Xenopus tropicalis: one gene and its partner. The protein of the gene in region 2 interacts with the protein of the main gene of each other region in a biochemical or structural test. Links are inferred from orthologs where the notes say so. Each region holds a gene or a part of one and is shown on either strand. Other genes may lie near its edges.

Region 1 (3,830 bases), on a different chromosome or scaffold from region 2:
ACTATTGAGTTAGTTTGTGAGCACTCAGGTCAGATTCAAATGCAAAATAACTGACCAGTTATGTTCCATATGCCCCCCCTCAAGTTACTGATTGGTAATGACTGCTAACAATTTAGAGAGCTGTAAAGGAGGAAGTAAAGTTCTGGCTATTATGTTAGACATCTGGTCACTCCAGCCCTTACAGATTACATTTTTGCCTAACTAACTATATTGAAAACAATTTTTATTTTGCACAGTCTATCTATTTTGCTCCTTTCAAAAATCTGGGAATATGGGAAAGTGGAAATATGAATGACCTAATGTGCAGTCATACAAACATATCACAGTAGCACAGTGATCCCCAACCAATGGCTAAGGAGCACCATGTTGCTCACCAACCCCTTGGATGTCGCTCCCCGTGGCCTCAAAGCAGGTAGTTATTTTTGAATTTCTGACTTGGAGGCAAGTTTTGGTTGCATAAAGGCTATGTGTACTGCCAAACAGAGCATCCCATATGCTGCCAGTCTACATAGGGACTACCAATAACAGCCCTTATTTGGTACCCCCAGGTTCATTTTTCATGTTTGTGTTGCTCCCCAAACTTTTTTCATTTGAATGTGGCTCATGGGTAAAAAAAAGGATGGAGAACTCTGCAGTAGCACATATAAATAGTGTAGGAATAAAAAAAAAAATATGGCTTCCTGGCATTCTTTAGCAAGGAGCCATAGCAATCTACCTTAGGCTATGGTCAACTCACAGAACTGTGCAATACCTGTTTTCTCCAGCATGGAGCAAGTTTTGAGGGGGGGTATGGCAGTTTAGACCCTTAACAAACTAAGTAAAAGCCTAAAGCCCCGGCGTAGTTGCATGGTTGCTTGCTAAGATATGAGCTTCCTGGTGTGTGGAAATGTGCTCTACTCAGTCACTTATATTCACATACATTACTTCACTGGGGAAACGGTAACATTTTAGAAAACTTCATTTTACCCTCTTTAAACTGAACAGAGACATAGAAAATGACAAAATAAGCTTAGAGTATTTAGGACAGGAGTCTGTGCTCCATCATTTGCACAATTACAGTTATCAGCATGTCTCACCACCAATGCCAGCACCTGCATATATGGTATGTTGGCCATCAAATTTTCTACATCCTGCCTATTGTTTGTTTGCACTATCGGATCACACATAAAATAGATATTTATTTGTTACCTTTGTCACAGCCACAATGGTCAGCACTTCACCTTTACTAAAATGCAGGTCCTGCTCAGCTTTACCCTGGAAGTCATAGTTAGCAATGCATTCTGTGCCAGCTTGCCAAGGGGCCTTTGAAGTGGGAAGCAGAAAAATGCTAAATTAAAGTCTCATCGCAGTAAGCATGATCTTTAAAAATGTTAACATTTTAGTGACTATGATTACAAAAAATTTGTTCTAAACATGGGCTACTGGAGATGTGAAAATACATAAAAGAAATTGGTAGAATAGGTTCATAGCACAAGTAGCATACTGCTACATTTTTGAGCAGAAGGAAAGCATCAGAATCCAACCATATAGCCGGTAATTAGCTTTAACGGAAACCGCCTGTCAAACAAGTGAGGTGCTGCAAGTCTGAGATCTGGTGGGTCTCCGCCAGTTGAAAAACACTGGAAGAAAATATACCATGTGCAGTGTGACCCTAAGAGCGTAAATGGGTAAAGTTTTGATGCTATCAGTATAACTTACCTGCACCACTGACATGTTGGGGGCTATATATGCTGAAAAGTCTCAGAGAGAGAAAAATTCACACAGTAACATCAGACCTAAAAAAAAGAAACAAATATCAGTCAGAACTTTGATTTAATGTAAAAAAATTCTACCACAAAGTAACATGTAAAGATGGTAAAGATCCCTTCATACTGTGAAAGCTTCAGAATATTTTCTTTTCCAGCAAATAAAGCAACAATCTGTTTTGCCACTAACAAAGACATATTCCATCACCTTGTAAGAAAGGATCTCCTCCTCTTCCCTGTACTAAAGTTTACATGTATTGATCTTCTTTCTTTATAGTATTTATAACTACCAACCCTTGTACTACCCAAGTTATTACTTTTACCCCACACATTCTTAAAGGAACAAGTTTAACATGAGTTCAATGAATCGGGCTTGTGCAGAAAAAAATCTACGTGTATAGTTTTTGCTGTAACATAACAGGTTGCTGAAGCCCCCCTTGAGAAATAGGGGGCTTCAGCAACTCAAGGAGAGAGCAACAGCAGGGAATAATGGGGAGAGAAGTTGTGGGGCAGAGTGAAAAAGTGCCGTAGAGAGAGAAAGCAGAAAGTGACAGTGAGCTATGGAGCCATAGTCTGTACCCACTGTGCAAAGAAGGTCAAAAGGATAGGGCAGTCCTAAAAAAGGGTGTTAATAAGTGAGAGAAGTCAAGGACAAAATGACGTTTTTGTGTCACAGGGCAATGGCGGAAACAGAAAAGGAAGGTTTTGCAAAAGGAAAGGATAGTTTGGTAAAAGAAAAGAATACTTGCAGCAAATATAAAAATTAGGCTTTTTTACCAGATGTAGAACAGGAAGTGTTTGTATGTGAAAATGAAAAGTTCAGTGACACATGCAAATGAAACGCTGAGGAGAGTTCCTTGTTATTTCTACAAAGGGGGATTTCTTCGTAGTAGACAGATGAAGGAATGTAGGGTCAGGGGACTAAAACAGGATCTCCATACTTCTCATAGTTGCTGGTTAAGAAAAAAACTTGGCTTAAGATGAGTTCTTGAAAGGGAATGACTCCAATTTGGCTTAAAGTGATAATCACTAAAAACTTCTCTTCAAAATATTCATATGCATTAAAAGTTACTGTCATGTGGATCATTTTTTGCATAGGTTTGCTATTGGAAGTAATTGTTGCGTATAGTTCCTAAACCTGACTGTTGTCAACCTGACTGTCCCTTCTCAACCTCTAAGTTGAAATTTCTAACACAACAGACTGCTGCAGATCCTCGTTGTTATTTTATATGCCTAACACTGCACTGAAAGATATATGTAAAGGAATGAAACTATGGCTGCTGCTAGGGGTAACTATGTCAAACTACCTGACCTTGGTCATACCTTGCATATGCACAAAAAAATGCACACTGACATATGTACAATATTATATATTTATATAATATATATATATATATATTATATATATATATATATATATATATATATATATATATATATATAATCACCCCTCCCATCTGTGTGTGGTTATTTAGAGGAGAGCCTGATACACAGCAGTGAGCCTCCCAAGAGGGCCCAGACATTCATAAGCGCAGCTGCATAAAGAAGAAGGAGATAGGGATGATTATCACCCCCTCCCCCAGACTGGCTGGACATTTCAGGGGCAAAGAGAAATATTTGAGTCCCAGCTGTTGGCTGCTATTTTAGATAATGATTTTAATTTGGAGAAGACAGAAATAGTGCTGAAGGGAGAAGCAAGAGCAGGAAATAAGCATGCAATTGACTGGGCAGCATAACCATACGAAGGGAGGGGCAAAGAACCAGCTTGAGCAGCAGATATGGTTTAATAGAAAGAGTAATAGGTGATCCTTTGACTTTGGTCACAAACATACTATGAACATGATGCGTATTTCAGCTGATAAACAAGATAACTCATCTTAAATGAAAAATAAAGGAAATTATAGACTATATGGCCTCTGCCCTACCCAATGGTGGTAACCAGGATCTCTGTACCAGAGCACTTAAAGGACATGTAAACCCCACACACAAAAATGTAATCAGTGAACAGCCTCTTTGAAATCTTTCAGTACCTGCCACCCTGGTTGTCCAGAGGTTAATAGTAAGGCTGCAACATTCCCTTAATCA
Region 2 (3,830 bases):
GGAGTCAAAATAAATACAGAATACAAAATAATACATTAACAATTACTAAGCCTGTATGATAAATGAATATACTGTAACCCTATTGAGGGATAGCTGAAGCAGGACAATGGCGTGCAGACCTTTAGGGAATAAGGAGCTTCTTCCCGCAGGCCATACGAGCTCTCAATCATAACAACATCACATGGATCTAGGAACCATTGGGAGCTTCTGTCAAGGATTAAGTCTTTTTTTATTTTGCACACGTGGGACAATTGCACATTGCACTTTTCGCACACTGCGAAGTTGAACTGTAACTCTTGCACATTATCATGCCAACTATTTGGCCATGGTTCTACATTGCATTACATACATTTCAATTATTGCATTATTGTGTTCATTTATTTTATTCATTTTATTCTTTTTATTCTTAACTTCTTATATTCTATATTATTCCAATTTGAGGTCAATAATAGTAGTCATCTAAGCATTTCACTGCATATCATAATTGTATGACTGTGTATGTGACAAATAAAATTTGAATTTGAATTTGAATTTACTCAACTCATACATTGAACATTATTAGTGCAGAAAGAGAGAGGAATGGTCAGAAGAGGAGCTCGCGTACAACATGATGGATGTTCCCCTTCTAAATAATGCTACACTGCAGTCAATTCATATTACAGTACAATTTTCCTGTTTGTTCTTATCTCATGTGTCATTTAATATTGTATGTCATATTGTTGTTAGTATGTTGTGGAAAACATCATACGCTCTAGGATCTATGTACAAAAGATTTGTTAATATTTTTCAGCAAACAGCAACTGAGACAAATAGTCATCACGATATTACAATCTTTGTCATTATAATGGTAATAGAAACTTATTACCAGTTTTGCCCTAATGCAGTGTATTTGTACTATGCAACAAGGCTTAAACTAAACTCACCTCTACTTGAACCATCAGGCAACGCTGACGTCTCAGCTGCACAACATAGCCGTACACATCCACCCTACCCTCAGCTTCAAGGCCTTCAAGCATGGCATCAATGCTGACGTATGTTCCTGTACGTCCTACACCAGCACTGAAAAGTGAATAAATAGGGACATGTAATCAGTGCTTAGGTATGGTGCTGTACATCCTAAACAAGTACCGGAAGGGGAAACATTGAGATTAATTTGAGTGAGTATTAACATCCCTAATCTTAACCCTCCATATGAGTCAGAATCAGAATTAGTAAATTATATGCTGATAACAATAAAAATGTTTCTGTTTAAGGGACAAAACAACAGATACAGCAGCCATAGTTACTACTGCAGGCAAAAAAACAGCTGACTAATGGGCAGTTTCAATATATTTGTGTACAACAGGTTTTGCGCCCTAGGTTCCAAGTTCCTAGGTTCCCTAAAATAGTTTGCTGTGAGGCCCAGTATTGCCTCAGGAGTATTTGTCTTCAGGAGTCCAGCAACTAGGCATATGCAAACATAAGGCTTGCATTCAATCATTAACCCAAATGTGGATTTTGCACAAATCTTAGAGGCAGATTTACTAGAAATCTAACAACTGCAAAAGTCTACGGGAGAAAAGTTGCAAAAATCCTGAATTTTTCGACTTTTCACATGAAAACCACAACTTTTTCAATTTGTCGCACAAAAAAACAACATCAAAAATCCTTCATTGAAGCAAAAGAAGGACCATCTGCCATTGACTACATGACCTCGCCAAATTTTAGCTGGTGAATGGTTGTATTCGGATTTTTAGCCATTTGATAGTAAATTTCTAAATCTCGCAACTTTTTTGCCGTGACTTTTAGCGCTAAATATCTGAATTGGGAAAAAAATCAAACGGTTAGTAAATGGCCCCCTTATTGTTGGATGAAATTCGAGCAAACCCCCAAATCAGCCAAGAAAGGAAACTGAAGTAAGTGATACCTGCAATGAACAATGATTGGGCCACTAAAGAAATTGTTCAGTGCGTTAACCCTTCGACGTAGCTTGAGGAGCAGATTGGGGTCATCGGGAACCCCGTGATCTGGCCAGACGGTGAACTGGATGTGAGTCACATCTCTCTCAGATCTCTCCTTCTCCTGCAGAAAAGGAAAGATGGAATCAAGAGCAATTTATTAATCCAATTAAACAAAACAGACCTTGGATATCAGTCCATCAGATATAGTTGCAACTATAACATGAATTTTTCTAGCTGGATATATGTTTTATTATTTCCTAATATGCTAGCAGCCTAGCAGTCTGGTATGGTGACTTTGTATTGCAGCTTGGCCAATACATGCCGGAATACAGTTCCTATAGCTTTGTTGCCTTTCAATAAAATGTTTCAAAATAGACAGTGCCACTGGAATCTTAGGTGATGCTTGGTTGTACATAATTGTGTTTTGATTGCTTTATAATTTTTATATTTATTCAAACTGATATTGCTGCTGCCTAATTGCAAACTACTAAAAACAATTGTCACATTTGGATGATTTTACTCACGTTGTTGATGTGCAACTTCCGTGTAATGTAGTCAGGAAAGATTTTCTCCTCTGTGATTTTCAGAACAATCTCATTGTAAGTTGCAGATTCATCCTCCAGTGATGGCCAGTACTGAGCACATTTGTTCTGAAAATGAACAGATACAACATAGACTTTTATAGTGAATGCTTGTGTGGACAATAGCATGCATTTGGCAAATAAAGTGTGTGTTCACTAGTTCACACACAGAGAACACTGTGAGCACGTGTGCAGACTCTAATGCACATGTAAAGGTTTCTGCAATGTCCTCTGAATGCTCTCCTGTAATGTAAATCACTGGTAGGAAAACATATGTGTTGCTTCAACCAAAGTTTCCTCGCAAGGCAAATTCAGGTAACTTCAGAAAGCCGAAACAACTCATAAGTATTCAGAGGAGAACGCTAGAGGAGGTTAATCGTACGGCAACTAATCTCCTCCTGTGTCACTGGTCTAACGTTTCCCAGATTACCCCAGGAGCCACATCTAACATTTATGAAATGCTTAATAATAAGCAGCAAACTTTGCCTGAAAAATTAATAAGAAAAATCACTTTCCTATAATCACTTTCCTTGATGCGATTAGAACTTGGGGAAGGGTTTCTGTACCAGGTGGAACCTACTCAAAGCTGGTACTTATATCTACACAAAATACTGGATATTTTATACTGCTCCAACTAGTGTTAAATTAAAACTAAAAACATCAAAACCAACATGAATTTATTGGAATGTATAGTGGGATTGCTATGTACAGTATGTACTGTAACATTAGCAGAAATAGACAGTTTAACAAATGCCAAGCTTTGGCTTCCCTCCTGCATTGGGAAAAGTACTTTACTGCTCTGAGTTGCACTGCACATTTCATTTAGACAGGTTAAATGCAAGTTGTGTCTTTAAAACTCCCATCCAAATCCCCATTCCCCAATACAAATCACATGTGGGAGAAAAAATTAGACAAATTAATCATTTATCAACACTGGACAAGTTTGTGCTAGACAAATAATGCATTGCAACCAATCAATTAGTCACTTTTTTCAGCCAGTTACAGCTGAAAACAAAAATTTTGACTTGTTTGGCACAGGTTACTGTCCAGATGCAAATTTGCTCAGTGTTGAAAAATAAGTTCCAGTGCAATAAAACACTAACGCTGATGTCTACCATTTTTAACATTAATGCTTAACGTATGTGATTTTCATTTTGATTTTGCATTTACTCACCCGGTTCCCCTCTTCACAGCGTGTCACCATCACAATTATTGTTGACTTTTGCTCCCAAACCATTCTCCAGAAATCATATACTGTTTCATCCTTGGGACCTGTAAAACACTGCACTCTGAGTATCTGTCCAAACAG

The links.
Region 1: of the proteins of ptprc (region 2) and csk, one has a biochemical effect on the other in vitro, tested with the Homo sapiens proteins (2 studies listed by IntAct). The link is inferred for Xenopus tropicalis from reciprocal best matches to the Homo sapiens genes PTPRC and CSK.

Annotation. Positions count from the first base shown.
Region 1 is NC_030679.2:94,060,299-94,064,128, forward strand, and holds part of csk (tyrosine-protein kinase CSK), read right to left. Parts: intron 1,776-3,830; 5' UTR 1,714-1,775; coding exon 1,699-1,713; intron 1,303-1,698; coding exon 1,189-1,302; intron 1-1,188. UniProt on the Homo sapiens protein: Non-receptor tyrosine-protein kinase that plays an important role in the regulation of cell growth, differentiation, migration and immune response.
Region 2 is NC_030680.2:111,375,773-111,379,602, reverse strand, and holds part of ptprc (receptor-type tyrosine-protein phosphatase C), read right to left. Parts: intron 3,794-3,830; coding exon 3,696-3,793; intron 2,591-3,695; coding exon 2,465-2,590; intron 2,062-2,464; coding exon 1,907-2,061; intron 1,060-1,906; coding exon 924-1,059; intron 1-923. UniProt on the Homo sapiens protein: Protein tyrosine-protein phosphatase required for T-cell activation through the antigen receptor. Acts as a positive regulator of T-cell coactivation upon binding to DPP4.